4 linked regions of the Caenorhabditis elegans genome follow. The protein of the gene in region 3 interacts with the protein of the main gene of each other region in a pairwise test. Each region holds a gene or a part of one and is shown on either strand. Other genes may lie near its edges.

Region 1 (10,367 bases), on a different chromosome or scaffold from region 3:
CAAATGAGCCGTTTCAAGGCCTTAAACGTCGTCCAAATGTCCTAAAAACAGCTGTAAACTACAGTACTTTGCAGTCCGGCGGAAGTTGAACAGTTGTCGGCTGAGTTGTTCGGATAGCTTCTCGAATTTGACCGAAATTTTCTAAAAAAAAATTTTTTTTTAGAAAATTATTTTTTTCCGGGCACGTACGATTTGGTGGTGGCGGTGGAGCCGATGATGTGCTCGCCGTATTGTACATGTGATATTGGGACAGTGAGGTGAATGTCTGAAAATTGTGTAGTTTGTAGTTTGTAGTCTCTTCGTTTCAAAATCCTACTGTTTGAGGTCTTGCTGGTGCTGCTGGACGTCTGTTTAACACAATTTGAGTCGGCATTTTCGACGGATTTCCACGTGGATTCCTGAAAAAAAAAAACAAAAAATTTTGTAGTTTGTAGTCTGTGAGCCTCAACAAACTTACATTTTGTTTCTTACACGATTTTTACGGGCAGACTCAAGCTGTGATGGAAATGCTGAAAAAAAATTATTAAAATTTTGTAGTTTGTAGTGTGCGTGCCTCGGCTACAAACTACAAAATGTCATAGCCTCAACCAAATTTTTTGGGACTTTTGAGGGAAAAATCAGTTTTTGGAGGTTTTTTTTTTTTAATTTTAATGCGAATTTCATGTATTTCACAGCAGAAAATAGGCAATTTTTGATTTTTCGACTGGAAAATCGCTAGTTTTCGGACTTTTTAATGGAAAAATACGTAATTTCCATTTTTTTAAAGTGATCTTTTTTATAATTTCCGCTAAAAAACTGATATTAACATTTTTTGGTTGAAAATTACAGACTTTGTTATTTTTATCCGAAAAATCTGAAAATATTCATGATTTCTGATTAAAAACGGGATTTTTTTTGGTTTTTCGTGAAATTTTTCACATTTTTTAATTTTCAAATGAATTTTTGTTTTTTTTTTTGTTAAAATTTTCACAAAAAACTCTGAAAAAAGATTTTAGCTTCAAAATTCAACAAAAAAACTTGGTTGAGGCGGTGTCAGTTTGTAGTTTATAGCCTCTCAGCCTCAACCAATATTTTGGTTGCGGCTCACACACTACAAACTACACATTTTGGGTGAAAAAAAAATGAAGGTATTCGCATAAAAATGGGCAATTTTTGAGGAAAAAACTGAGAAAATCGTTGAAAAATCAATATAAATTGCAATTAAAATGAATTTTGTCAATCAAAAACTGAATAAAAATTTAAATATGCACCGAGAAAATCAATGAAATGAGCGTATGAATAAGGCCACTGGGAAATCGAGTTAGTGTCAGAAATAGTACACAGTAAAAAAATGTAATTTACAATATAACAATCAAAAAAAATTTTAAAAATTCATGAATCCGGGTCCAAAATCTCTGTTTTCACATTAATCTTCGGCGGAAACTCGTCACAATTCGGAGTTTTCTGCAACAAAAAAAAATTAATTTTTTGTCAAATTTTCAGTGAAAATTCGATTTTTTTGCTACCTTCCAGTGTCTCCGGAGACTATCTGGGCTCTGATAGCAATATCCACATTTTTGACATTTATAGGCGTCCGGATTGCGGTGTACAACGATATGATGCTTGAGACGTCGTTCCGATGTGTACTTTTTCGGGCATTCCGGGCAATTGTGCTTCTGAAAATTCGAAATTGTTGGGCGAAATCCATGAAATTGTAGTTTTTAGTCATTTTTATAAGAAAAATCGGGAGAAAATCGGTTTTTTCGGCCGAAAATAGTTTTGGGTGAGGCTCAGGGACTACAAACTACAATTTTCTTAGCCTCAACCAGTTTTGCGTTAGTTTTTGGTGTTTTAGGATTGAAAAAGTGAGTTATAAGCTTAATACATTGCAGTTTTTAGTCATTTTCATATAAAAAAATTGCAGAAAAATCAGTTTTTTGGTCGAAAATGTTTTGGGTGAGGCTAACAGACTACAAACTACAATTTTTCTAGCCTCAACCAATTTTTTTCGTAAAAATTGAAGGTTATTATCGTAAAAAGTTAATAAATATCATGAAATAGCCGTTTTTACTCATTTTTATACAAAAAATTGGGGAAAACCGTTTTTTTTTTGGTCGAAAATGTTTTGGGTGAGGCTAACAGACTACAAACTACAATTTTTTTAGCCTCAACGAATTTTTTAATACGATTTTCAACTGAAAATTAGGTTTTTTAATAGTATAAATTAATTTTTAAGCGAAAATTGAATAAAATCCTATTTAAAATGATTGCGGTTTGTAGTTTGTAGTCTGTGAGCCTCAACCAAACGAATTTTCGTCCTATTGGCTGAAATTTGATGATTTTTCATGTTTTCAGGGCAAAAATTGTTAGAATCGGGGTTTTTTATCAGTACCATTTCACTTTGGCCATCCTCATCATCTTCGTGATCCTCTATTTCTTCCGGATGCTCAGATTTTGGAGAAATTACTCGATTTTCCACGATTTCTTGTGAAAATTCTGGATTTCTAGGATGAAAATGTGATAAATTCGAATAATGAGCTTGTTGCACAGATTGCGGGGGCGAATATTGATTTTTCGGTGAACAATTTTGAGGCACATTTTGCGAATTATTGTCGTAGACCAGCTCATATTCGTCGGTTTTCTGCTCCGCAAACATATTTCTCATTGTAGTGAGCACTTTTGGTCCATCTTCGTCTGATGTGTAGTTTGAGGAACAGGAAATATCCTGAAAAATTGGAAAAAAAAAGTGATTTTGCAGAAATTTTCGGGGAAAAACCTCTATTCCACTTTGTAAATTGAAGTCATCGCCGAAAAGCATGTAGTTTGGACAGGAAAAATCCTGTTTTCTTTCTGTCATCTGAAAAAAAAGCAAATTTAAATTTAAATTATTCAAAAAACAACTATTATCGTTGAAAATTGCTGCTAAAAATTAAATTAAATTAAATTAAATTAACCTACCGTAGCCATTAAAGGCGCATGCTGTGTTCCCTCGAATGGGTTTCTACACGAAATTGGAAAACGTCGGATTTCGGCAGGAATTCTGGAATTTAAAATCACTTTTCTCCAAAAATTAAATATATCGATTCATTTTCTTCACATTACAAACAAAAAAACACGTTCAAGTATCTGAAAATCACACAGAAAGCCGCCGTCAATAAAATTCGGTGGCCGCGTGGCCGTGGACTAGGTTTCGTGTAAAGGAACGGCCATCGACATTTTTTCGATTTAATTCTATTTTAGAATATTTTCAGCGCATTTTTAAAGCTTTTAAATAGAAAATCTAGCTGAAAATTTCGAATTTTTGTTAAAAAATGCTAGTTTCCACCTTTTTCCTCCCAAAAAAAACCAATAAGATCGATATTTCCTGCAGAAAATCACAAAACGAGGGAAATGGAAGATTGGACCAACTATCATCAGGCACAGCCGGCGGAAAGTGGTATGGCGTTGTGATTTTATTGAAAAATTGAATTTAAAATCGAAAAATTTGGCAAAAAAACACGAAAAAATCGATTTTTTTCGAGATTTTCGCGAAATTTTTTTAAATTTATTTAAAAATTAATTTTCGTCTATTTTCCAGTCGACTGGGCCCAGCTGGCCCAACAATGGATGGCGATGCGCGACACAGACGATCGTCGAGCCGGAAATTCACACGATTTCGCTCAAAATCATCAGCTCCCGTGGCATCAGCCACGTCATCCGGGCCCTCCGGCTCATCAGGATTGGGGCGATTGGTCCGCGAATCGGGACGAGCAGTGGAGAGGGCCGCCTGGGCCTTCTGGGCCGTCCGGGCCCCCCGTATATCATAATCAAGGCCCGCCTCGTGGATATCCACCACCACCGCCACAGGGAGCAGACACGTGGCGTGGAGCTCCTCCACCAGCTCACCACGGACACTTTGGACCGCCTGGACATCATTTCCAAGGCCCACCACAACATTTTCCGCCAGGGCCACCAAGGCCGCACTTTCCAGGCCCCCCAGGCCCACATAGACCTCCAGAGCACTACCCAGGGCCTCCAAGACCTCAGGCTCCAGCGGCACCACCACCGAAAAGCCTATTCCCGTCGGCCCAAAAGCCTAAGCCACTTTTTGCGGCGGCTTCAAGTGCTCCAAGCTTCTTCGGAGCACCTCAACGTCCACCACCGCAGCTGCACTTTTTCCAGGAGAGCCCCTCGGTCCAGCACGATTTTCAGCAGCCCGATTTCCAGCCCGATTTCCAGCCCGAAAACTACCAAAATTCCCCGGAACCCCCGGCCCAAGCTGGCCCGAAAGGTGTGCCTCCACCGGCTCCACTAATGGCTTCAGGGCCCACAAACCCGTATGCAATGAACAAAGAGGCCCGGAAAAAACTGCCGGCCTGGATCCTGGAAGGCCTTGAAAAGGCCGAACGGGAGAAGCAAAAGCAGTGGGAAAAAGAGGAAAAGCTGAAGAAAGCGGAAGAAGAAAAAGCCCGGCGAAGAGCCGAAGCTGGAAAGAGCAAATTTGACTCTTCGTCGGATGAAGAGAGCCCGGAAAATGAGAAATTTCCTGTTGGTAATGGAAAATCTGAATATCAGGAAGATGATAATGATTCGGAAGACGATTTGGAGGAGAGACGAGAGCAATTTGTACGGGAAATTCTAAATTCCTGAAATTTCCGCAAAAAAAAACCTAAAAACTACAAAAAATTTGAGAAAAAACGAAGATATTCTAAATTTTTAGAGGAAATTTTTCAAAATTTGAGAAAAAAAACCAATTTTTTGAAAAAAAAAATCCAGCTTTGTAGTTTATAGTCTCTCAGCCTCAACCAATATTTTTGGTTGAGGCTCACACACTACAAACTACAAAAAATTTTGAGAAAAAACCAAAAATTTGTCGAAGATTTTCTGAATTTTTAGAGAAAATTGCTAAAAAAATCGAGAAAAAACCGACGAAATTTGATCAATTTTTGTTGGTTCAGGCTCATGCTCAGACACTACAAACTACAATTTTCGGGTAGCCTCACCAAAATTATATTTTGAACAAAAAAATCAATTTTACAATGAAATTTTTGTATTTCGAGGAAAAATCGTTTCTTTTTTTACTTTTATTTCAAAAAAATGTTGAAAATTTGAAAATTTTAGCCGGCTAGACTACAAACTACAGAAATTTTTTTTTTTAAATTGTATTTTCCCAAGATTTTCTGAATTTTCCAGTGTAACTCCTAAATCCTAAAAATAATTCCTATAAAACACCGAGTTTTTGATAAAATTTCAAAAAATCTATTGGTTGAGGCTATGACAATTTGTAGTTTGTAGCCTCTCAGCCTCAACCAATATTTTGGTTGAGACTCACACACTACAAACTACAATTTTCGGGTAGCCTCACCAAAATTAAATTTTGAAAAAAAAATAAATTTTTCAATACAACTTTTGAATTTCGGCAAAAAAATCGTTTTTTTTTTCATTTTTAATTCAAAAAAGTTTAAAATTTTAGACATTTTAGTAGACATTGGCGTTTTTGATGCCAGCTAGACTACAAACTACATGAATTTAAAAAAAAAAAACAATTTTCCCTAGGTTTTCTCAATTTTTCAGCGTAAACCATAAAAATTCCAATAAAAAACCCAGTTTTTGATAAAATTTACAAAAAAAACATTGTTGAGGCTATATGACAATTTGTAGTTTGTAGTCTCAACCAATTCAAAAATTGGTCGAGGCTCAGACTACAAACTACAATTTTTAAGACAGCCTCACAGAAATTTAAATTTTCAAAAATTCAATTTTTTCAAGATTTTTTAAAAAATTTTCTAAAAAGTTTTGAAATTCGGGTAAAAAAAATTTTTTTGTTTCAAAAATTTTATAATTTTGATGCCCGCTAGACTACAAACTACAAAAATTTCGAAAACAAACCTTAAAATCTTCCCAAGATTTTCAGAATTTTTCAGTCAAAACCTTTAAAAATGCAATAAAAACCGAATTTTTGATAAAATTTCAAAAAATCTATTGGTTGAGGCTCGCGTTTTTGGAGGCTGTTAGACTACAAACTACAGAACTTTTGAAAAAAAAAAATTGAATTAAAAATTAAAAAAGGTCCATTAAGTGGAGAAAAACCTCTTAAAAATTTCAAAAAAAAAATTTTCGAAATTTTTTTTCCAGATACGCTGTGTGAAAACTCTAATGATGAACGTGCTCCTCGAGTCTTCGAATGACGTCATCATGCGTATAATACAAGAAGAGCTCCGTGAGCACGAAAAACTTCAATTTGAACGGAAAAAATTGGCAACTGCGCCGAAAATCATCGGCAACAGCTCAGCGTTGGCGGCTCTCGCGGCTTTTGGTATGGAGAAGCTCGCGAAAATTCGAAATTCGGAAAAAACAATTTTTTTGACCAGAAAATTCGGTTTTAAAAGTTTTTTCCAAGTTTTTAATTTAAAAAAAACCGAAAACTTTAACATTTTTGAAATTTTCTTCCAAAAAGCTATGAAAATCGTATAATTTTTCATAAAAAATTCATAAATTGTTCCAATTTTTCGACGAAATTTTTTTAAACAAAAAAAATTCGATTTTATCGAGTTTTTTGAGCTAAAATTTCAAAAAGTTTTTTAAAAATTGATTTAAAAAATTCGAAAAACGAAAATTTTCAACATTGTCTTCAAAAGTTTCACATTTTTTAAAAACTTTTTTCTAAAATTTTCGAATTTTCCATATTTTTTTTAAATTTAAAACAGTTACAATTTTGAAACAAATCGAATTTTCTGGTTGAAAAATTTGAGATTTTCCGAAAAAAAAAGTAAAATTTTTGATTTTTAAATCGAATTTTTCAAAAAAAAATAGCGAAAATTTAGATTTCCAGAAAATTTTAATTTTATATAAAAATTGTGTTCAAAAAGTTCCTGAAAAGCTCTTCTTTTTCCTAAAAATTCAAATTTTTCAGAAAAAGTTTTCAAAAAAACATTTTTTTTTTTTGGAAAAAATCGGTTTTCAGAAGCTTTTTTAATTAAATATTCGTTATAAAAAACGATTTTCGAACAATGTACCAAAAAAGAATTTTTAGTTTAAAAATTTCAATTTTTTCGATTAAAAATTCCATAAAATGTGAATTTTCAATTTCTCGAAAATTGTAAAACTAAAATTCAAATAAAAAAAGCCTTTTTTTGCAAAAAAAAAGTTGAGTTTTCAGTTAAAAAAAAAAACGTTTTTTAGAGCTAAAATGTCATATTTTTTGAAATTTTATTTCAAAAAATTCAAATTTTTCAAATTTTCCAGGAGACGGTGAGGATAGTGACAACAGCAGTGACGATGGAGTTGGCGACGACATGGAGCCACGGCAGGAGAGCAGTGGCTCGGCGGAGCTAAATGGAGCATCAGGGGCAGCAGAAGCAGGAACACCAGAAGCTGGTGGTGGAGAGTTCAAGGCTCCCGTGGGTATCCCTCGAAAGTTTAGTGTTAAGACAGATGATGTCAAACCATCAGTTAATGATGATGGTGAAGGTGTTGATGATTTACACGTTCCAGGTAAGGTAAACTAATGAAAAATATAAAAATATATTCACTTTTTGTTGAAAAAAATACCATTTTTGCTAATTTTTTCCCCGATTTTAGCGTCAAAAATGTGTTTTTCTGTAGTTTGTAGTCTATTAAAGCGCGAATTTTCAGCCAAAAAACTTCAAAAACCTACTGGAAATCCACTTTTTTGAATTAAAAATTCAAAAATTTCAGGAAAATCTGCAAAAAAAAAATGTTTTTTCAATATTTGTGTGAGGCTATGTTATTTTGTAGTTTGTAGTCTCAGCCTCAACCAATTTTTGAAATAATTGAGGCGCGCTGGAGACTACAAACTACAAGTTTTCTTCACAATTTTCACTTTTTTCCGCCAAATTTGAACTGAAATTTTTTGGGATTTTGGGACATTTGGGATTTTGGATTTTTGGGACAGAATGGTTTTGTAGTTTGTAGTCTCGGAGCGCCAATTTTCAGCCAAAAAAAATAATATTTTATTCCAAAAAACCCACTGGAATTCCACTTTTTTTGGATTAAAAATTCAGAAATTTTCGGAAAATCTGAAAAATTTTGAAAATTCAGTTAAAACCGCTTCTAGAACTCGAAAAATCTATTTTTTAAATCCAAAAAAAAATCTGAACATTCCTGAACATTTGGTGAGGCTTTGCTCATTTTGTAGTTTGTAGTCTGTGAGCCTCAACCAATTTTTGAAATAGTTGAGGCCGGAGACTACAAACTACAAGTTTTCTTCACTTTAGCAGAGATTTTTCGGGAAAATCTCACTTTTTATCTAAAAAATTTCAAAAATTCTTTTCTTTTTTCAATAAAATCTCTGAAAATCCAAATAAAAATCCAAAAAATTTTTTTTTTCTAATTTTGTAGTTTGTAGTCTGTGAGCCTCAACCAATTTTTGAATTGGTTGAGGCTACAAACTACACATATTTCCCAGCCTCAACCTAGATTTCTTCATATTTTACTCATTTTTTAAAGAATACAAATGAAAAGTGTGAATTTTTGAAATTTTCACTCGCAAACGTGTAGTTTGTAGTCAAAATATTGGGATTTTACTATTTTGGGTTAGGCTAAGCTGATTTTGTAGTTTGTAGTCTTCGGCTAAATATTTAGAAATTTCCTTTCAAAAAGTCTGTAGTTTGTAGTTTGAACCTTGATTGAGGCTGATGTGATTTTGTAGTTTGTAGTCATTCTCTAGACTACATAGAACTACACAATCTACACACAAAATTCCGGAAATAATATTCAAATTTTCAGATTCAAAAAACGGCGATAATAAAAAATCGGAAAAATCGTCGTCGGAAAAGAAGAGAGAACGAGAGATGAGAGACGATGAGAAGGAGAGAAAATCGAGTAAAAAGAGCAAAAAACGATCGAAAAGTCGTGAAAAAGAGCAATCTTCATCACGACATAATCACCGATCGAGAAGCCGATCTTCGGAACGGGATCGCCGTCGAAAACGGTCGAGAAGTTCGGAACGTCGGAGGGATCGGGGGGACAGGGATCGGCATAGTCGACGTTGATTTTTATTGATTTTAACGATAAATTATTGATTTTTCCGATTTTTACCGCCGATTTTTTCCACCAATTTCTTGCTCCAAATTCTCATTGTTCAAAGCCGCCCGTTTTTCTGGAAAACTCCCAAAAAATTATTTTTTTGTATTACCTATGATGACATTTTCCCATTGATTTTTTTTTGCTTAATGTATTTTGAAGTTTTGTTTTTTCGTTTTTGGTTTCAGCATATTTCAGAATCGCACAATAAATTCTAATTTCGCGCCTGAATTTTTGGAAAAATAACTAAAATTTGAATTTCCCGCTAAAATATTAAAAATAATTTGAAGTTCGCGCCAAATTTTTTGTTTTGAAAATTCGAATTTCCCGCTGAAATATTTAAAATTTTTGGAAAAATTACTAAAATTTGAATTCGCGCCTAAATTTTTGAAAAAAATACACATAATTTAAATTTCGCACCAATTTTTTTTTTCGAAAATTCAAATTTTTCGCAAAAATCATGGAATTTAACATTTTAATTATTCCGCCAAAATGTTTAATTTCCCTCAAAATTTGAATTCCGCGCTGAAATTTTTGAAAAATTCTATTTAAAATTAGCGCCAAGATTTTGTAAAATTTAAATTTCTCGCTAATAAATTTAAAACACATTGAAAAATTGAAGTTTGAATTTTCCTCAACAGATTGACTAGAATTATCAGTTTTGAACGCCTCTCACGAGACAAAAATCAATGGCCGAGTTTTCCCGAATTTTCTAGGCCATGCAGCAAAGGTCGGTCATGAATTCCTTACACTCAGAATATTATAGAAAAAATACGATCGCACAAAAATAAACAACGACGCAACGACACTCCGCTGTTTTTAAGCCCCGCCCACGATTTCATTTGCACTGAAATGTGGCGGTCGCAGTGCAAATGAAATCGTGGGCGGGGCTTAAAAACAGCGGAGTGTCGTTGCGTCGTTGTTTATTTTTGTGCGATCGTATTTTTTCTGTAATAGAATTATTAACCTTCGATCTATTTATTTCATTTAGCCATAAAAACTATGTGTTATAGTTCTTCTAACTGATATGAATTTGTGCAGAGTATTGGCATGTTTTATCAATTTGTGACTGTTCGAAATTGTTTCAATGTTTTGCTTTTTTAATTTTTTAAACGGCCTGAAATTCGGCCTGGAACGGCCTGAAATTAGTTTTCAAATTTTTTTGTTCTTAAACTTTTTTTTTTTTGAAAAAAATAATATTGTATTTTTCACAATTCAATTCATAGAAAAATTGTTGTTTTTTTTCCAGAATGAACATAGGCAAATGTTCCATAATTTTCCTGCTCTTTTGCGTTTTCGGATCAATTTTGAGCCGAGCAATCCGGAAAAGACACCCAGAAGGGAAATTGGTTATTAGGGATTGT
Region 2 (5,158 bases), on a different chromosome or scaffold from region 3:
TACTTTGATTTTCTACTCGTCATCATCATGACTTTTGTGTTCCTTTGTCTAGTATATTTACTTATTTGGATTGAAGTTTTGTTGAATTCTTCTCGGCCTGGTAAGCTTTATATATTTGATTTTATATATAGAGTGTTGGTCTGGGCTTTGGAAAACATATCAGCCTCATTTTTTAGGAATTATGACGTCGCTGTTTTCTTATTTTCTATATTACGTTACCGCGAAAGTTGGCGACGCTCTACCGAACTCCGTGTTAATTTACGGGCCTGAGACGTCCTACTGCCAAAAAATGAGGTTACCACATGTTTCAGACGCTAAATAACTATGGAATACTCTGACTACACATGATTACTTGGTATTTATAAAAAATACTAATTTTCAGATCCAAAGCATCGTGTCTATTACCCGAGAACAAATTTTTGGCAGAGAACAGACTAGAAGATTTTGATAATTATTTTAAGTTATTTTTTAATTTTTTTTCTGACTATGAAGTTTTTAGAAATTAAAATTTGTTAGTTTTGTTGTCAAACAGAAGTGTTATAATTCACCCGCAATTAATTTATGTTAAAGCAACAAAAAGAGGTTCAATTTTCAGAGGAGTACATTCTGAAATATAGATAACTGAGTACTTTGAAGAAGCTTGGCCTTAATAGTTTGGAATTTTTCGCCCAACTTTTTTTGGCCATTTTTCTTTTCAAATCTTTGATACCAGGCCGGCTGCGGAAAGGAGAGTGGCAATTGTTTGGAACATGGAAAAATGAGAAGAAGATTTACACGGTTCAACTTGAATAACAAAAGAATGATATAATTGCCAAAGATTTCTATTTTGAATGCACAATGCTCCACCGCCACGTTTCAGTTGTGATTTCTGAAAACAAAAAGTGTGCTATTTCACTTTATGAATACTCTTCAAGTTTATGATTGAATGTTTTTCGTGGCGAGTCTGTGATCCTTAAAAAACGATATGTGACCAACCTGCCTATTCATATCTCCAAAACAAACAATCGGATTGGTCTGAGAATTTGAAACCGCCCATTTCGAATGATCCTTCGAGCTCGCGAAGTTCAGCCCGGTTACACGCATTTCTGTGACGTCATGAGTCTGAAATTCTGATTTATTTCACGTCTGAAATTATCAATTTCATACCTGACTAGTACTCGTACAAGTTGTATGAATATCGTCTCCACTGCCATTCAACCAACTCTCCACTGCTAGTGTTACTTTATTTTGGCGGGATATCAAATCATTCCAAATATCTGTTTAAGCTCATAGCCCTATTACAGTTTTAAATATAATTTTCCAATTTACCTCCATCAAACTTTTTATGTTTGGCGTAGGCCATCAATGTAACTCCTTGTACGGTTTTAATCGGCTTTGAGATCCAAAATTGAGTGGCTGAACGTGGCAGACTTTGTTTAGCTTCAACATTTTTCAATGTAGGGAATCGAGTTGCATATTTTTCCGGTATATTTATTATGTAGGGAGTCGCCTGAAAGTATGCTACAGTTACTAAAATTCAAATTTCCGCTTAAAATGTTATCAATGAAGCGATTACTCGCCAAAAATTTAATTTATATTAAGCGACTCGATTATTTATTTTTTGATTTTTTTTTCAGAATTTACCCATCTGGCTCAATCCGGTCAAATCCGTTAAGTTTCACTCTTTTTGATACTCGTAAAACTATTTCTGTGCTTGTAATCTTAAGCCACGCCGACTACCATAAGCTTCTATTATCAATGGAGCGCGTTTACTTGAACGGTTTTTCTTGTTCTTTTTCTTTGTTTATCTTTTGAATTTTATATAATTATATCAGTCGATTTTATTTTCTTATTAGTGTTTGAAAAGCTAGGAAACTTTATAAACAATCAGTTGAAAAATTTGTTGTTAACTTTTTCATGCGTCTTTTAGATTTATAAGCCAGGCAGTCAAAATTCGTTCAAAAGTAGCTTTAAAAAACTTTATAACAGGTTTTTCTAAACATACCTGAATATATTTCCAATGCTCTGCGAGCTCTGTTAGATGTTGAACTTCCATTGATGCGCAGAAAAATGATTGTCCATATTTCTCAGCCGTGTTCGGATAGGAAAAGCTTTTGATGGGTGGAAAATTCGGTACACTATGAATTAACCAAAATCCAGTAGTTGAATCAAAAAGTGATACTCCTTTCGCATGTCCTCTATATGAATCAGCTGACTTTATAGGATCATCATCACTGTACATGAACCAAAAATTGTTTGATTTATCAGCAGAATACACTTGGGAAACTGTTGCTCCCACAGCAACATTTGGATCATTTATGTCATTTCCACGTGTCCAATCTGATGATTCGGCATCGAAATAAACAAATTCTTTTCCAGATGTTCCAGCGCCGGAAAGTTTTGGAAGTTTATAAACGACAAACCTGAAGTTTTTTGGTTTCAGATTAATTTTTCTGAAGGCATGAAGCCTAAGAGTAAGAATACTCACCAGTCCACAGATTTTCCACGCATATTCTTGCACTGAATTTTGCCATTTCCAGTTGTAAAAATCACAGAAAATATAAGAACAAAATATAATCGCATCTCTCACCACCTACTGAATTGTTTCATTCATTCCCATCATCATCGACCCACTTTCTGAAAAAAACGATATTTTTTCTTCGTTTCTTTCTCTCAGTTTTTTTCTGTTTGACGATCTCTGTCTCTTCTCGTCCAAAACAGCCGTGATGTATGTATTGACCGAAATTTTTCAAGTGTAAAGTGGTGGCCGTGGCCTAATGTATTTTTGACCAGAAATGCTCACGAGTCATGTTTGCTCCATATTTATTTTGCACTGTTTTATTCTTCCTCATCTGCTCTTGATTAATTATACAAAAATGACGTTTTTTTCCAGAATGAGCAAATCAAACAAAAAGTCCAAGCCAAAGTACACATTGGAAAACCTTCAGCAGATTCCCGGAGTCCTCGCTTTCATGATTTGCAAAGGAAATACAATTGTAAGATTTTATAAAATAATTTCTAGAAAAAATACTTGTTGCTCAATTCTAAATATAAATTTACACATTTTTTTGGTAAGAAATTTTAATTAAAAAATTTTCCAGGCCCACAGCACTTTCCTCGAAGCGGAGAACCCTCGTCAAATTGCCTACAATGCAATGCGAATGGCAACTCGAACTCAAGGAACTGAACTCCGTGATCTAAAAGTGCACACGATCCAAGTTCAATACGACGACTTCCAAATTGAAATGTTCCAAATCGGCGGACACTTTTGCATCCTCAAGAAACGTGTAGATACTGATTAAAAACTTACTCACTTTACCTCCCCCCCCCCCCCCCCCAGTGCATTCCTTCCCTGAAAAGTAACCAAACCCATTTTTGAATTGATGTCTCGTTATGTATGCTTTTCTATTTTATAAATTTCATTTTTCAAAAGTCTAAAAAAACAATAAAAACAAGAATTCTAGTTGAAAACTTCCTACCAATTAACAAAAACAAAATTAAAGTGGGTATTCATAAATTAACGACGTTTCCAGATCCATTTAGCACGAGCACCCGGTTGATTCACCTTGCTTCTTTCGTTTTTCCGTGGGTCCAGTGTTAGAAGTCCAGCTGTAATTTAGGAATTTATAAGTTTTTTACAAAATAAATGTCCTTACATAATCTTAGTGGTTCGATAGCTTCTGGTTGCAAAGCGGCAACACAAAGTGCAGTTCCATGGCGAACAGCACGCGGTAGAGCACTCATTCCTCCACTTCGCATTCTGCAGAAAGTGATTATACTGTTGCAGAGTAACAAATTTTAATAGTCTCACAATGGCGCCTTGTTTGGTGCTTCTGGAAGAGTATTAGAAATACATGAAGTTGTCGCTGTTACATCAAATCGACCGAGAGACTGACTGACAATCATTGGTGCAAGAAGAATCTCTCTGAAATTATGTTATCAGAAAAATTCGATGTTCGCAAAATATACCTGGCTTGAAGATGCCTGAAATCGTGCAATTGGAGACCATCAATATCGAATTTTCCTTTTCCTGCGTCTGTGACCTTAACTGTAGCACGAGTATCTTTACATCGTGTTCTGAAAAAAAAACTGTTCAATTATTCAGTTTACAATTAGAGAAAATTTGTTTAATTAAAAATTACAAGTATTTTTAATGGCAAAACTAATTTTAAGGTTATCAAATCATTAGATTTTTGGCAAAAATTCTCTGCTGTCTTTTAAAAGAAGGACAACTCACGTCACTTCTGCATATCTTCTGTTGGTCACTGCACAAACATGCACTTCAGGAATCGCAGGACCGAACAATTTGGATCCAGTTGAAGCGGTCATTGGCTCTCTGAATTCCATCAAAAACTTTTGTTCAATAGCTGATCCTGGTAATGAAGCAAGATGCTCAAATGCAATGATGACTTGTCCGTACAATTCTTTTGAAAATTTTTCCGAGAGCTTTTTCTTCAATTTGTCAGCTGTAACCCATTGAGAACCGCTCAGATTTCTGAAAATTAATAAATGTTTCAGTAGAAAAAATGGTTACTAATTACGCTGGTTCCAAATCACTTCGATTTACCGATCGACTTCCAACATGTTCATCATAAAACTTCATAACAGAATGCGTTTTGACTCCAATATCCGACAAAAGCCCGTAAATTTTTGGACTTAATGTGAAAAATCGGGATCCTTCTGGTTTTCCTTCTTCGTCAAATGTGAATCTTTGGAATTTTGGAAGAATTTCATCTGGTGGTCTCATAACTGGACGAGCATTTGGGTCGGTTAATCCAGAAGGAAATAAATATAGGATTGCTCTGAAAATGCCAATTATGATAAATATGACAAAACACTGTTACAAAACCTGTCAATTGCCTCTTGATCGAGTTCATGAATGTCAAGACTCATCATTTTGGCAAGATGTCGACGTCCTGTCTCGAACTCTGCTCTTAAAATGCTTTATTAACGATTTTCACTTCAAAAATCGATAAACCTGTGTTTCTCCATCATCGCCACATGTTGTTGACTGTGTTTCAAATAAGTTTCCAGTGCTTTACCAATTTTTCGAACTGAAGTGTCGCTATCTGACCTGAAACACGATTATTTATTGAAAGAAATAAGAGAAACGAATGATACTTACGCAGACGCTGGCGAAGCAGAGCTCATTGCTCTACTTGAGCGGGCTAAGACTATT
Region 3 (7,260 bases):
TCAAACACCAGCAGCAAAAGTTTTGCATGGAGAGACGAGAAAGGGAGGAGGTGGAAGTGTACATTATGAATATATTGCAATAAAAGTTGATCAATATTTCGCTGATTTTTTTAATACATTTGAAACCAATACGAAGCATTCAAGTTTTTCGAGGGAAACTGCCTTTTTACAAAAAAATTAATTTTGAAATATCAGTTTTTTATGTCTCGAAGAAAATTTCGTTTTGATTCGGAAAAAAGTTGTGGACAAAAGAAACAAATGCACAAGTTTTCAATATGCTTATGTGAATCACTGTAAAACAGGAAAAGAAATGTTTTTTTGTTGAAAAAATTTTCCAGTTGATTTTTTGTCAATTAAAGTATAATTGGGAAAATTCTAAAGAATTAACATAATTTAAAATGTTCGTGTTTTAGATATAATTTTGAGTTTTTTTAAAAATGTTTTTCATCTGATTCTGAAAAAAGTTTATTTGATAGACAAAAAAAACTATAAAAAGCTGACCGTCTTCCATTCCAAATATGAAAAATAATAAAATCGTGGGTCGAGGGAAAGAGGGAAAATATTCGATTGAGAATGCAAACAGTGTGCATGTTCACACAGCTGGCAGTACTATATGTTTCCAATTATTTTATTCTATCAAAATCATATTTTAATAGTGAAACAATTGGTTAAACAAAAGGATTACTCTTTGAAGATTTGCAAAAAATTAAACAAAAAATACACCCGAATGTATTATTTGGCCAATCTTTAAAGTAAAATAGATGGTACTTGTGTATTATTTCCCCTCATTTTTAAATTCCATATATTTATCCATTTTAATAAAACATGATGTTCATTTTCCCTCTTTACGGTTATTTCCTGGTTATGGTTAAAATATTAAAACTTATTTTTTAAAAATAAGGGAAATAATACACAAGTGCCAACTAGATACTAAAATTGGGAAAATTGATGTTTTGATTAAACACAAATTCAATTTAATTTCCAAAAAAAATGAATTGAAAAGGAGTTGAAAACGCATGCTTGTAATAATCATGATAAGAAAGGAAGACAACATAAGAAGAAAAAGAATTGATTAAATGTACGTGGAGCCGCACCTTTAAAATGATAACAAAGTGCACATACAAATGTTTCACTAGACCTCTACATTTGCATAACCTAGTTTTGAGAACTCAGTGCCAGTTTTTACTTCTTTTTGCAGATGAAGTCAAAAGCACTTCATTTTGGACACACAACGAGACTTCCGTACAACACACACACACACACAAAAACTAAACAATAATCAAAAATGCATGACAATTTATATGCACAGTTTTCGTTTTTCGCAGTTAGATCACTCACACCAAAACACTCGCTGTCGTAGATGACGTGGTTTTTGCAACAAAAATGGATAACTGGCTTTAATTTGGGAAACATTTTGGTGCTCACACCAATTTTTCGCACTTTTTTCATGTGATGCTTCAAATAAAGTAATTGCTGAAAAGGAAATCGTTTCAGATGCCGGAAAAATGTTGGAAAAATACGCGTTAATCCTGGCGAGAGAAAAAAAACAAAACAATTGGAAGTGAACAAGGCTTCGAATTGTTTATTTTCATTTCAGTGCATTGCTTCCAACGACGGTGAACACTATTTTTAATTAATTAGTTTTCACATTTCCCTGTTTTCAAGGAGTTAAGGGAATATGATATGTTTTTTAGAACAGTCATCATAGTTGTAACTCCATCGTAGGTAGTTTAAAAATCGTCTGTAAATCGAGCAGCATGGACAAATTTGTAATTGTTGTTCAGGTTTCTTTGTAATTCAACAAACATTGAGAACAATGTACATTTATTCTTGCAAATTAACAATTTAATCAAAAAGTCACTTCATCTTGAGATTGTTCACTTTTCCAAGAGCTTCTTCCAAAGTAGAAATATCACTTCTGATGTCTCTTGCGAGACGTTGAAGTGCTGCTACCTTGTCGAGAATTTCAACTCGTTGAGTGTAAGCATTATAACGAATTTGGAATGGACGATTGATGGTAGCTGCCCATGATCTGAAATTATCTAGATTACAGTTGAAACTGACTATTTGATCCTACTTAAGTTTGTTCTTAGCACTTGCAAATGATTCAGCTAAGAAATACTTTGGCTGATATTCTGTGATTGGATATTTGGTGACACAACATACAGCTGGATCAAAATCTACAACTTCCGGCTTATCACTCAACGCATATTGAAGCTCTCCAAATGAACTCAAAAGTCCGGCTCCGTAAGCTTTTTTCTCCCCATCTTGTTGACAGATTCCAAATTCGATTGTGAACCAGTAGAGCTAATATTTCAAAATAAAAAGGGGGTTTCAATGTTCAAACATACTGTGGCAAGTTTTTCAATAACATCATCTGGAGCTCCAAGAGAAGCAAGACCGATTTCCTGTGAGAATTGTGCAAATTCAACATCAGCAAATAGTGGAACATGTCCCAGAAGCTCGTGGCAGATATCTCTGAAAGTTACATCTCCAGCTTATTGTCAAAAATTCAGAATATATCCAGATGATAATCAACCGATTAGATTTTATTTTCCTTTTATGTTGCACTATAGAGTTTTCACAATTTTTTCAAAGCAAAAGTCGTTTACGAAATCCCACCCTCGGTTAAAATTATCATGTTCAAACTCACGGTTCAGGTGTGTATTTTGGAGCGGAATGATGGCGAATGTATTGTGTGGAATGAAAAACACGGAAGGCCAAACCAGCCAAGAAATCACGAGAAGAAAGAAGACCAGCGACTGGTCGAATCGTGTACCCGGTACAATCTGAACACGAAACAAATACAAAAACAATCAGATGATAATGATTTGTTTACCCTTCAAAAAATCTGAAACATCCTGCAATTGTGGAATGCGGTCAGGTCCAAAACCACAATTCTGCTGGAGGAGTGGGAATATGTAGTTGAACTCTTGGCAAGCGTTTTTCGGGTACATAACTGTCAGCTCGTTGTAGACTGTACGCCACGTGGCAATTTCTTCATCAGTGTAGGTGATAGTAGGGATCTTGTCTCCGCTGGAAAGTACGATCAGGTTGCAATTCGGATTTTTTGGATTTTATTCAGTACGCCTTCAATGTTACATATTTATTGGCACATATTGCTACTTTTGTTGATGAAATGACTTACTGTTTGAAGTTGAATGCAATATCGGCGAAAAACTTTCTGCGCTCGCGGTAGGTCATGTCCTTAAATCCAGGGTGATCGGCATCAAGCTCAGCTCCATAAGAAAGAATTCTGTTGGCAAATTGATCGATGTCGTTGATCTTCTGTGGGAACCATGGAACAGAATCTACAAAGCTCTTGAATTTAATACTGTGAGTTTCATTATTGTTATAGCGTACCCTTGTTTTGTTTGTTTTTGGTGTTCCAGTCTTGAACAAGAACCTTCTTTTCAGCTTTTTGTTGGAAATGCTCAATAACTCCTTCAATCTTACGATGGTCTTCAGCTTCAGCAAATTCAACGAGCACCTCATAGCATCCTTCATGAGTCTTTGATGGTCTTGATTCAATGTGAGACAGATTCACATCATGTGCCTGCAAGAATGTGTAATGAAGCATGTAATTGGTAGGAATTTGAGACAATTGATATGATCTCTTTTTCTCGTGACACGATTTTCGACATCTTTGATAATCAAAAATCGCGAACCGGATTAAAAAATGCAACTACGTAGTTTATCTCTTATCATATTTAGAAACAGTTTGGTGCAAATTTTCAAATTTTAATTTGATATAAATGTTTTTTCTATGTCTACTCAACCGTCTAAACATAATTGAAGATCATATTATTCAACGCTTTATGATGCATAAAATATTAAACCGCCTGATCAAGAGTAGACGTGAGAATCATAAGATTTAAAAAAAAAAGTGTCGCTGACGCAATAGTCATCCTCTGAAGTCTCATGATCCTCTGACATTTCTAGTCTGGTTTTTTTCATGACTAACCTGGAACAGCTTCAATGTTTCAGCGAGAGCTCCTGCCTTTTCACGAAGAGTGAATACGATAGTAGTCTTGCCAATGTCGGCGTTGACGTCAGCAACGTACGATTCCATGGCGTACTTCTGAAATAAGTTGGACTTTAGTAATTGGAAATAATTTTACACAAAATTCTCAAACAGAAGTTTTTCTTGATCAGTTCAAACAAGGAAGGTCTCACCAAGAAGTCAAGATCATCTTGTCCAGCTGGTGGCATTTTCAGAGAACAAGATTTGGTTTTCAGAGGAATAGACAGTCACCGGGAAATAAGAATTAAACAGAGACAAAACGTGAGCCGTACGTTGCCGTTTATACGAGACGAAATAGCTGGAGACTCAGAAGCCTAGAGATACAAGGCGTGGCCTATGAACTAGATAATTCGTGTGGCCCCCAATACCATTCTGCAGAGAAAAATCCACGTGGGAGGAGACTCGCGGCTACCCATACACAACCTACACGTGGGTTTTCATTAGAGTGTAGTGTGAGATAGAAGAACGGTTGGAAGAAATTGAAAAAAATACGAAGAAGAAGAAGAACAGTCAGATGATGAACTTGAAAGCACGTGGAAAATGATATGAAATAGATCACAGACAAATGGACGCCTGAACAATAAAAGATATGATTATGATCAATGAAATACAGTTTGAACTTCCAAAAGAAAGCATGCCCCAGTGGATCTTCTTCGTAAAATAGATGTAAATCTCTGTTTCTAGTTGAGTTGAAATTTAAGACGTTGGGTATGAATTGGATTGTAGGCCTTTTCAGGCGTATGTGCTTACATACAGTCATTTTTCAATTTCAATTAATTGATGAAGCTTAAATATGGATAGTGGAATGTTTCATTTTTTCACGATGCTGAAAAAGGGGAAACTGAAACAGGTTTTTTTTGTTGAGTAAATTTACCGAATTTGGAGTCTTACGACTGCCTTGTGACGAGCCTCGTTCAAAACTTTTTTTCAACTTCCTCAAATTTCTCGAATTTTAGTTTTTGACCTTAAACAGACATTTCAATGGTTTTGATTGAAGAAAAAACCAAGTTTTCTTTGAAACGATCAAATGGGTTACGGTAAAAGCCATAAAATCATGGTGTATCGAATCGAAAGTAGGAGGGGGACGCTGAGAAAAATCAACAGAACACAATAATGAAAACTGGTTGACGCATCCTTTGTATTGTGAAAAGGAAGGAAAATGAGATGAGATGAAGACGTGGAATATTTAGATGGAAATATATAGGAGGACGTTTGGTTGAATGTCTGACATTTTAGGATGATAAATTTAGAAGAAAGAAATTTATATGAATGGATGAGACAAGACGATGTCATAAATCAGTTTGAAAACGGCAGAAACGATCAATAGTTGATGATGTCCGACTGGCTTTTATCAACTTTTCGTGAAAATTTTCGTTTGCAACGCGAATCTTCTGCAGACCATGATCTGAGATGTCTATGTCAATGAGGTAAATAGGAACAGTAATACAGCATTGAAACAATTAATTTAGTCGATGGTTGATCATAAAAAATGGAGAAATTTTGAAAATACTCGTGTACGAGATCAACTGATCAGCGACGGTTTCGATGAAAACAGGGGAAAATATAAGGATGATAACACTTTTGAAGATAGCAAAATATTTTGGTTCAAACAGTTTTTAATTAATTGAAATTATTTAACAATTTTCTAATAGTATGATAACAAATTCTATAATTTTTTTTAATAATTTCCGTAGTTTTGACCAAATTTTTGTTTAGATTGTAACTTCCACGGATATCACGTATACTTTGGCAATAGAGGCTGGCATAGGCCGCCTGGTAGGACTTTGTATTTATGTATTTTCAGCTGTTACCCTCTTTTTGAAAAATTAAAGTATGGCCGAAAAAAAGTATTTTTAAAATATTCAAAATTAGCAAATTGATTTTTTTTTTCAGATAATTTGGCAAACATCAGTTTCTTATTACAAATGCAAATGTTTGACGTTGGACTAGTATAAATAAAGAGCTCGATGTACAAAAATTATATCATAATATTGAGAAAAATGGATCAAACATACCTTTCTAATTTCATCAATATTCATCCTTATATAGCTGGACTCAACAGACCAATAATATAACTGATGGAATGTACGAAAAAGGAAAAGGAAGGAGGTACTGCCGGGATAATCATCAGTTTACGTTATCATCTTATATCTTGAATGCACCGAGTCGCGTGGAAGATATCCAATCTGACCTTCCATTTTTATCTATATTTTAAATAAATTTAAATAAACTTGTTCAGCAGAAAACTCGTTATTACGTGAACCAGATAGAAAAAAATGGTCGGAACAGTGAAATCAAATCAGTTTTAAATTTTTAATGGATAGGAAAGGGTTCACAATGGAAAAGGTGAGTGGCTTTCAGTTATTTGATGGCTATTGCACGCATTCAAACATTCTGCAAGTGATTTATTCAGGGAAACATAGACGATATTTGGACATTACAAAAAGTTGGCACACCTTTTCCACCAAATGTTGCAAAAGCTCCTGGTGAGACAAATAAGTACGTCGCATTATGGTATAAACACGGAAAACCAGTGATGGGCAGAGCTTGGAACGATTCTGGAGTGGTGAAGGTAAACTGGAAAAATAACTATTCAGAAATTAAAAATAGACTTCCAATTATTTGAACTTGCAAGTATGCAAGTTCGCCTGCATAAAAGGTAACTTACAAGCGGTATTAAAATATTAAAATACAAAAAAATATGGAGAGCCACCACGAAGTTTTGATTCCTTGGCCAATCAATCCAATTTTACAGGGAATTTTACCAACGGTAGATATGTGCTCTGGAAAGCTGGATCGATTTGCCAAGTTTCAACTCATCGTTTGTTGCATATTTGCTATTGATATGTTAGGCTCACTTGATATTTTAGGGAAAATTTTCCTTTAAAAAATAAACTAGGAAATTCTAAGACTATATAATAAAAAATATCCATTTAATCCAACTTTTCAGTGCATGTTTGTTCTCGATGATAAGATATATAGTGGAGCAGATGTCGGAGGAAGCATTCAATTACTTATTCTCGATCATATTGAAAAATCAAAATCATTTCATTATGATTGGGTAAACTTCAAAAAAGCACAAAGTTTGACAATTGAAGGAAAATATGAAATGGTTCGATGTGAATACAGTGCATCAATGTATTGGCCGGAGCATGGACTATTAGGATGCGTGAACACAGAGAAGCTTGTCGCACATTTTGTTGATAACGAAATGCAAATTGTTGGTTTTTTATTTA
Region 4 (7,319 bases), on a different chromosome or scaffold from region 3:
GGTGGAATTCGTTGTGTTTCCACTGTAATCTCCTGTTTTCTCTGTCACATTCTACAAAAAAACATGTTTCAAATTTCAAAGCGTCACAACAAACCTGTATAGGTGATGGTGTTGTGCTGATTATGTTTGGCTGATGTGTTGAACCCTGAAAGATTTTTTTTTGATATTTGTATTACTTTTAAAAAAATTCATTCAACCAGCAAAATTTGAGAAATGATCAAAATTTCAATATATCAAGAGATTTCTGGAGCTTTTTAAGCGTAGTTTCAGTTTGACCAATGAGATTTTATTTTCATGTATAGCATTAAGTCACATCATTCCAGTACAAATAAACTACATTTATTGAAAAACGAATGTTTTTGTCAAAAGACTATGGGCGATGAGAGTTAAAAAATTTCAAATGAAAATTCCACTAAATGTTTGAATTTTACAAAGTGTTAGTTTATGATGGCCATTTAAAACCCAAGTTCATTTTACAATTGAGAAAAATAAAACTGAAAAAGAAGCTTCAACAAAAATAAACATACAGAAGGCTGTGGAGTTGTCCTGAATGTACTTCCTACATTTCGCTGATTGATGGAAGGCTGAAAAATAAATTATTTCATTTTATAGATGAATCTGGCTGCAGAAATCTGGAAACAAAGAGATATTGCAAAAAATTAATAACAATAATTTTTCTTCAAATGCTCAGATCAATAAGAAACTTTTTTTCATGGCGAATGAACTTTTTTTAATGTTTTATAAAGTTATCATGCTGGTAACAACATCAGATTTTGTTGTTACCTCTTAAAATTCAAAATATACAGAACTTGTCACAAATAATAATTTTAATTCGAATACAAAATTAATCCAAATTAAAATTAAAATTACTGATTTTTCCAAATAAAAAACTCACGTTAGGACGTCGAGTTGTGGGAATATGAATGTAGTTGTTGTTTTCCAATTTTTTAGGATCGTTGAATGAAACTGGTACAGCTTTCCCAACTCCATAGTTTTGCTGTTTTTTGAATTCCTAAACTCTGATTATTTTCTGACTTTCCAATTACAAAAAAACTTACTCTATGAATGGGAGCTGTTGATTTTGCCGTTGGTGAATAAATATTTGTTTCCTTTTTTGGCACTGGGCTAATTTTTCGAATAGCTTTATAATTTGCCGGCTGGTCCAATTTCGAAAATTCTTTTTTCCTGTCGTTCTTCACTTCTTGCGATCGTTTCTTCTTTCCTTTTTTGATTTTAGGAGGGATTGGCATTTTGAATGAGAATCAAATATTTTTTATATAAATCACATAAACAAGAAAAAACTGATTGGAATCTATTTCATGTGAGAAACTACGACTAGCAAGAAGTTTCTGCGTCATTTTGACTTTGTTTGTTGTGTCTATTTCTCTCTTTTCCTCTCTACTATTTGCAATTTACTGCTAACTTTAAAACGAAATGTCAGATTCGTTTTGTTCCTAACTTTTTGTGATAGTTTTCTGATATAAATATATTTTATAAAACGGAAACAAATTGATCACACTATCTTCATACATTGTTCAAATTATGGTTAAAAGTAGAGCAAGGGTTCCTGTTCCTCTGTGTTGAGAAACTCATAGTGACTAAAGAACAAGAGTTTCAAATCTCACTCAAAGACTCAAAGACATAGACTGTTTAACTCCGATAAAAGATTCAAAAAAGAGTGAATTCTAACTATATTAATATTTAAATTTTGCTCTATTCATATATGATTTAATACTTCGGTTTTTCGGGTTTTATTATTATTTTTTTCGTTTTCTGTTAATAGGTAATAAAAAACAACTGGAAAGCAGACAACGTTTTAACTGTTTTATATTGAAGCTGTAAAATGACATAACTCCATTTGATATAATCACTTAGCCTTTAATTATTTACAAAAAATATAAAGAAAAATTAAATAATAAATCAATGCATCTGTTTAACTTCAAGCAATTGTTTCTTGATTATTGAATTCTGGGGTCTCTTCTTTCAAGGCTTCAAGCTCGTTGGTCATGTCATTCGAGTTCAGTGAGTCAAATTCAAGGTCATCCAAAGTCAGATCGGCATATCTGAAAATACTGTTAGTTCTGTAGATGTTTAATGAATAGTGCAAACTTGTTTGAAGTTTCCGGCTGAAAATTAGATGGGTTTTCAAGAGGCGGTGCAGAGCTTTCTTTTACAGATTGATCTGTCGGAGGATTTTGAGACAAATCCATGATTTCATTTGCATCTTAACATTAGAAAATTTTTTATGAAAATGCCACAGTTCTTGATAAAGAAAAGATCTTCCCAGTATTTTAGAACCAAATCACCAATTCCAAACTTAAAGATACCAACCAGATATTTTATTTACCTCGGTCTTCAGACTTTTCTCCGTTACTAGAACCATCATTTGGAAGATAGTTCGCTTGGATTATGATTTCTGAAAGGCTGGAAAGCTCAGCTGGTGGATCTGAAACTAACAAAAATAAAGATTTGTCAATAATTACTCGACATACCAGCATCATCTGGACACAATGGAGGAACTTCCGCAGAATTTGTTAGTTGTTTTTCGGGCAGATTATCTAAAAAGTATTTCCGTATTAATATCAGAATTATAATTTACCATTTGTTTGATTTTCGTCGTCTGTTTTTTCTTTTGCATTTAAATCTTCCCAAGCCACTTCATCTGTTTTTTCGTCTTCTGAAATACTTTTTAGAAAGAAACCCTTGCAATTGTTTTTTACCTCTTATTTCTGCAACAATGTTAGAATGCTCAATGCCATCTAAACAAGCTTCTTCAATAAGAAGCCTGTTATTTTCGGTCAAAAACGATCTTGTCAAATTACCAGGTTTTTCCATCGTTTCTAAATTTTGTTATGAGTGATATTGTATAATATAGGAAACATACCCTCGGCCACAACATCATTTTGTTGGTTTTGATCTTCATTTGAAGTTTCTGAAGATTAAATAAAATTGTTTCAAGAAATTAATGAAATTGTCGAACCTTTTTCACAATTCGGGTCGACGAAATTACTGGAATTCACAAACGATTGCTCATTTTCATCAGGAACAGCCACTGTTTCTTCAAATTTTGTTATTTCTTTGCGCACTTCCGAAGTATTTTTTATGTCATCGTCTATTTGACAATTATCTTCATTTTCAAGTTCAATACCTGAAAAAATTGAGTTATATTTTAATCAGTCTGAGGTAACAGAATATCATGATAAAGCTAGTCGAAAATTTGAGTTTTTCCAATAAAAAGTTTTTGTAAATCACATTTCGAAAGTTTTTGAAAAGTTTTACTATGATATGTAGAATTTTTATTCTGACTTACTTGAATCAACATCTTCTTTTGCTGTAACGTCCAAATGCGAAATTTGTTGGATTTGATCATCAGGCTTGGTTTCTTCGTTTACAATCTCTGAAAGTTAAAATCCATTTTGTATTCAATGAAACCTTTTTTGTTTCTGTTGGTACTTTGTCCATTTTGAAGAATGTTTCATACCATTGTCTATTTGACAATTGTTTTTTATTAAAAAAAACATACTTGTTATTTTAGAGGGCTCCAAATTCTTAGCAATTGTAACATCTGGCTTCTCAGTACTATTTGAGCCTAGATACTGGGTGAGTTCTACAACTGGCCTGTGAACATCGTCAAGGGGGGCAATGTCTGGCTGAACACCTTCATTTGTTTCAGAATGAAGTTTATCTAAAAAAAACGAATTCGAAAATATAAAAACACTCGAAACTAACCTTTTTGAGAAACATGCTGAACCGATTTGATCCCGGAGCTGGTTTTTTTCAATATTTCTGGCACCACAGGATCTTCTCGTGGTTTTGATGGGTTATTCATTGGTGGTAAACTCTCTTTCTTGAATTCCATTTTCTTTAATTGAACTTGAGGTTTCAGATTAAGTACATCCACATAGGTTACGCATCTCGTAGGAAACGAGCTATTGGGCATAACCGGTCGATTTTTATGCTTTGGAATTCCGTCGGTATTTCTGAAGAAGCCAACTTGAGTGTTCACGGGTGGGTTGACAGGAGGCTGGTTTGAAAATTGGACAGGCTCGCTACGAATTTCGTGAGTTCCTCTGAAATAACTCAACTATTGAAACAAATATGCGTATTCTTACTGTCTGATTTTCAGCATTTCTCCAGAGTTTTTTGATAGAAATGGATGACATCTCTTCGGCGTACTCATGATTCTGTAACTATAATACACTTTAATTTGTGAAAAGTTGAAAATATTATGTATGTGAGAAACTATACGTCGCCGACTAAAAAAGAAAGGAATGAAATTTGGGATGAGGAAGAAAACTACTTGTTTTTGTTTTGTACCGATGGCGTAATATATTGTGGTAAACATTGACGCACTGTTCAAATAATCAGAAGCAAGGTAATTGTTTATTATGTATGACCTCAATTTAAAAAAAAATAATTAAAAATGAATCAAGGAAATCGCTAGACTTATTTTTCAGGTCTATTCAAACTTGATAAGTTAAACGAAAAAATTGTAAAAAAAAATCATTGTATTTTTTAAGTGTGGGGTTCCAATATAGAAGCACTAAGAATATATGCAACGTCAATTTTAAATCAATTTTTGTAAGGATAACACTAGATAAATATTTAAAAAAGGCGAGATAAAACTAGCAACGTGTTGCGAAGGGTTGTTCCACTGCTGTTCCATTGCTAATAGTTAGTTGTGAGAGAGGAAAATGATTGCAAAATCATATGACCGCGGCGGAAAACTGGCAAAACACTGGCAATTTTTTGGGATGAGGAATAAATGAGGAACAAACAATTTATGAAATACTTCAAAGAAAAAACATGAAAACCGATGAACAAGGTGAAGCGACTTTCTCGCACGGCATAATTTTCTGTTGGCGTTCTTATTTTGAAAAAAGGCTAAAAAAGTATTGGTTGGAGAAAACATGAAAACTAAATTGATATCTTTTCAAGTTTTTCACTAAAGCGTTTCGAAATTAACGCTGGACGTGCTTTTGCCATGAATTAGATCAGTGTAATACAAACAATTTGGTATCTTACTGATAGAAGTAAAATCAGATTTTATATAGTTCACAGTCAGTGGTGCAGATGCCTTCTCAGCAACTCCAAGTAACATCTCTCCCATCATCAGAGTAAGCATCAAGTTCATAATGATTTTTTTTCAGCATTACATATGGTGTTTCTGTCACACGAAAATGTGGTACTTGAACATTTCTTTGTAACTGAGCTTTTTAGTCTTTTGTTAACATGCACATTTGTGGCCGGCTCCGAGAAACCAATCTGAATATGAAATTTTTATAGGTGTGAGCAATAAACACGCGTTGTTCGAATATTAAAATGTGCCATATTACATGCTCAAAATTCAGAAAACCACACCCTATGGCCATGCGTATCTAAAGTTAACAACATCAACTTTTAACATTTCTTGTATTTTCAGCTGTCTCTCCTTTTTAACCACGGCGTCACAGGAAAATTCTTGAATTTCCAAAAATATATAATTTCCTTCAAGTTTCCTCTTGGACGTAATTTGAAAAATTCAATAAAAGTGCATTTTCAATATGGAAAAAAGACTTGAAGGGCCTATGCGAGAGGTGAGATATCTTTTAAAATTAAATTTTTGAAACAAAATTGCATGAAGTATTGAAAAAATATTTAAAACTAAGAATAATTGGCAATTCTTGTCATGGTTTTTTTGTAATTTGACGTCTTTGGCTGAATTTATCATCACAGTTCATTGTCAATTACTTCAAAAAAAAGTCTCTACGAGTACTATTCCACATTCCTTTCAATATACTGGATCTCAAAATTAGTGGCATCAAAATTAAAATTTCAGCTCCTCTTGGATATTTCCGACTCTGAAAAAAATTGGCTTTACTATTCAGTGGTATCACTTTTTGTTGTGTCTACAATTGGTGCAACTATATTGACAATGTCTTTTTTAGTTTTATCAATACTTTTGTGGAGACATTTCAAATCGGTAGGTGATGTTGACAAGCTCAGTTCAACAAACATGAATATACTAACGCTGAAAAAATCTGAAAATTGACTCGTTGGAAATACAATTCAAACAACTTTTTTTTTAACATTTAGATGAGATTCTTCTGGTTTCTAACTCAATTAACAACATCAGCTTTTGTAATTTCTGCTGCAAATTTGTTCATCAACATTCCAGCTGCACTATCTTTATTTTCGAAAGAAGTAACACAATCACGTAAGTATTATTTGCCCACTTTGCAGTTCGATCTTGTGGGCCAGCCTAAATTTATGAACAAAGTGAGATAAACAATACAATTTTTGTTTTTTATAGGAATGTTTTATTTTGTGTCTTATATAATCGATTTTTGTCATTACTCTATTCTTTTTTCAAATTTGGTAATTGCCGTCCAACGTGCTTTTGTATTTTTTCTCCGGAATTTGACGGATAGGTTCTTCGAGTCGTTAGTTGAAAAAAAACTAATTTTAACTTTAAGTTTCTCAAATTATAGAAAAGTTATATATATTTGGATTTCAAGTATCTACATATTTGCTTTTGGTGTGGAATATGCATTAATGTTTTCAAATTGTCAATATCGCTTTGGTGAACTTGCTAGAAAATACCAATTGATTTGTGAAACAACCAATTATGCAAATGTCGTTATCACAATGACAACCCCTACCGAAGTTCAACTTGTGATTATCAAAAAAAAGTAACGTTTATAAGAATGATAATTTCAGATGGAAACTATGCTTCAAATTTTCCTTCCTTTGTCTATACTTATCATATATATTGCCATAACTGTCAAAATAATATATATGAAAGGCAGCACACTGAGCAAAAACGAAACTCTGATATTAAAGCAAGCTATTTTTGTATTTTTAATTTTTCAAGTACGCTTAATTGGTTCAAATCAAATTGGTATTTTCATTTAAAAAATTCAGGCATCGTCTTGTGTGTTTTTATTTGCTCAATCTGTTCAAATTACAAATGTTGGAGCTTTTTTAGTCAAGCGTTTTGTAAATACGGTCAGCAAAACTTATTTTTATTGTATGCCATTTTTAAACTGAATATTTTCAGATGGAAATACTTGCCGGTGCAGCCACACCTTCATTTTTCTTTTTCACATCGAAAGAAATACGGAAACTTGTTTCCACTAGAGTTTCAGCTGTCAGCTCACAAGGACCGTCGAACATACAAGTTAGAGCTGCGAGAACTTTGGAGTGAAACAAACAACATAATATTGACGAACTTCCCCTCGGAAATATTCTGATGAAAGTCGCGTTTTTTTAAATGTTTTCCTTGATTAAATCTGACTTTTTCTGTTTATAAAACTCAATTTTTCTGTGTATAAACTTTA

What was found.
Region 1: the proteins of pah-1 (region 3) and rsy-1 interact in a two-hybrid assay, tested with the Caenorhabditis elegans proteins (one large-scale study listed by BioGRID).
Region 2: the proteins of pah-1 (region 3) and F09G8.7 interact in a two-hybrid assay, tested with the Caenorhabditis elegans proteins (one large-scale study listed by BioGRID).
Region 4: the proteins of pah-1 (region 3) and droe-8 interact in a two-hybrid assay, tested with the Caenorhabditis elegans proteins (one large-scale study listed by BioGRID).

Annotation. Positions count from the first base shown.
Region 1 is NC_003279.8:11,214,978-11,225,344, reverse strand, and holds rsy-1 (Arginine/serine-rich protein PNISR), read left to right. Parts: upstream 1-3,349; 5' UTR 3,350-3,369; coding exon 3,370-3,415; intron 3,416-3,556; coding exon 3,557-4,584; intron 4,585-6,093; coding exon 6,094-6,274; intron 6,275-7,203; coding exon 7,204-7,452; intron 7,453-8,706; coding exon 8,707-8,972; 3' UTR 8,973-9,168; downstream 9,169-10,367. Other genes in the region: Nuclear transcription factor Y subunit nfya-2, read right to left, coding at 68-141, 190-265, 317-398, 458-459; Y53H1A.2 (C2H2-type domain-containing protein), read right to left, coding at 1,372-1,443, 1,506-1,655, 2,372-2,704, 2,756-2,836, 2,938-2,946; ins-36 (INSulin related), read left to right, coding at 10,254-10,367.
Region 2 is NC_003281.10:8,266,070-8,271,227, reverse strand, and holds F09G8.7 (uncharacterized protein), read left to right. Parts: upstream 1-2,872; 5' UTR 2,873-2,873; coding exon 2,874-2,975; intron 2,976-3,080; coding exon 3,081-3,281; 3' UTR 3,282-3,307; downstream 3,308-5,158. Other genes in the region: mps-4 (MinK-related peptide, potassium channel accessory subunit protein 4), read left to right, coding at 1-100, 383-438; crn-7 (Cell-death-related nuclease 7), read right to left, coding at 695-868, 976-1,101, 1,147-1,256, 1,309-1,489, 1,985-2,402, 2,468-2,562; mrps-9 (Small ribosomal subunit protein uS9m), read right to left, coding at 3,497-3,588, 3,636-3,739, 3,791-3,904, 3,949-4,056, 4,217-4,474, 4,521-4,781, 4,829-4,912, 4,958-5,053 and 1 more.
Region 3 is NC_003280.10:8,760,860-8,768,119, forward strand, and holds pah-1 (Phenylalanine-4-hydroxylase), read right to left. Parts: upstream 4,353-7,260; 5' UTR 4,213-4,352; coding exon 4,177-4,212; intron 4,082-4,176; coding exon 3,965-4,081; intron 3,557-3,964; coding exon 3,364-3,556; intron 3,312-3,363; coding exon 3,149-3,311; intron 3,037-3,148; coding exon 2,840-3,036; intron 2,790-2,839; coding exon 2,654-2,789; intron 2,479-2,653; coding exon 2,352-2,478; intron 2,308-2,351; coding exon 2,078-2,307; intron 2,033-2,077; coding exon 1,858-2,032; 3' UTR 1,763-1,857; downstream 1-1,762. Other genes in the region: nsph-1.1 (Nematode Specific Peptide family), read left to right, coding at 6,341-6,370, 6,438-6,596, 6,780-6,845, 6,975-7,244. UniProt on the Caenorhabditis elegans protein: Catalyzes the hydroxylation of L-phenylalanine to L-tyrosine. Catalyzes the hydroxylation of tryptophan to 5-hydroxy-L-tryptophan. Plays a role in the biosynthesis of a melanin-like cuticle pigment.
Region 4 is NC_003283.11:8,723,389-8,730,707, reverse strand, and holds droe-8 (dietary restriction over expressed), read right to left. Parts: upstream 4,181-7,319; coding exon 4,113-4,180; exon of another isoform or gene 4,071-4,112; coding exon 3,730-4,070; intron 3,686-3,729; coding exon 3,524-3,685; intron 3,398-3,523; coding exon 3,311-3,397; intron 3,149-3,310; coding exon 2,981-3,148; intron 2,933-2,980; coding exon 2,885-2,932; intron 2,841-2,884; coding exon 2,721-2,840; intron 2,678-2,720; coding exon 2,600-2,677; intron 2,559-2,599; coding exon 2,493-2,558; intron 2,447-2,492; coding exon 2,348-2,446; intron 2,225-2,347; coding exon 2,110-2,224; intron 2,064-2,109; coding exon 1,940-2,063; 3' UTR 1,751-1,939; downstream 1-1,750. Other genes in the region: ZC196.5 (DUF713 domain-containing protein), read right to left, coding at 1-51, 95-145, 528-584, 896-1,012, 1,059-1,250; ZC196.9 (G-protein coupled receptors family 1 profile domain-containing protein), read left to right, coding at 5,544-5,576, 5,819-5,962, 6,076-6,196, 6,293-6,422, 6,471-6,654, 6,700-6,852, 6,904-6,987, 7,040-7,186.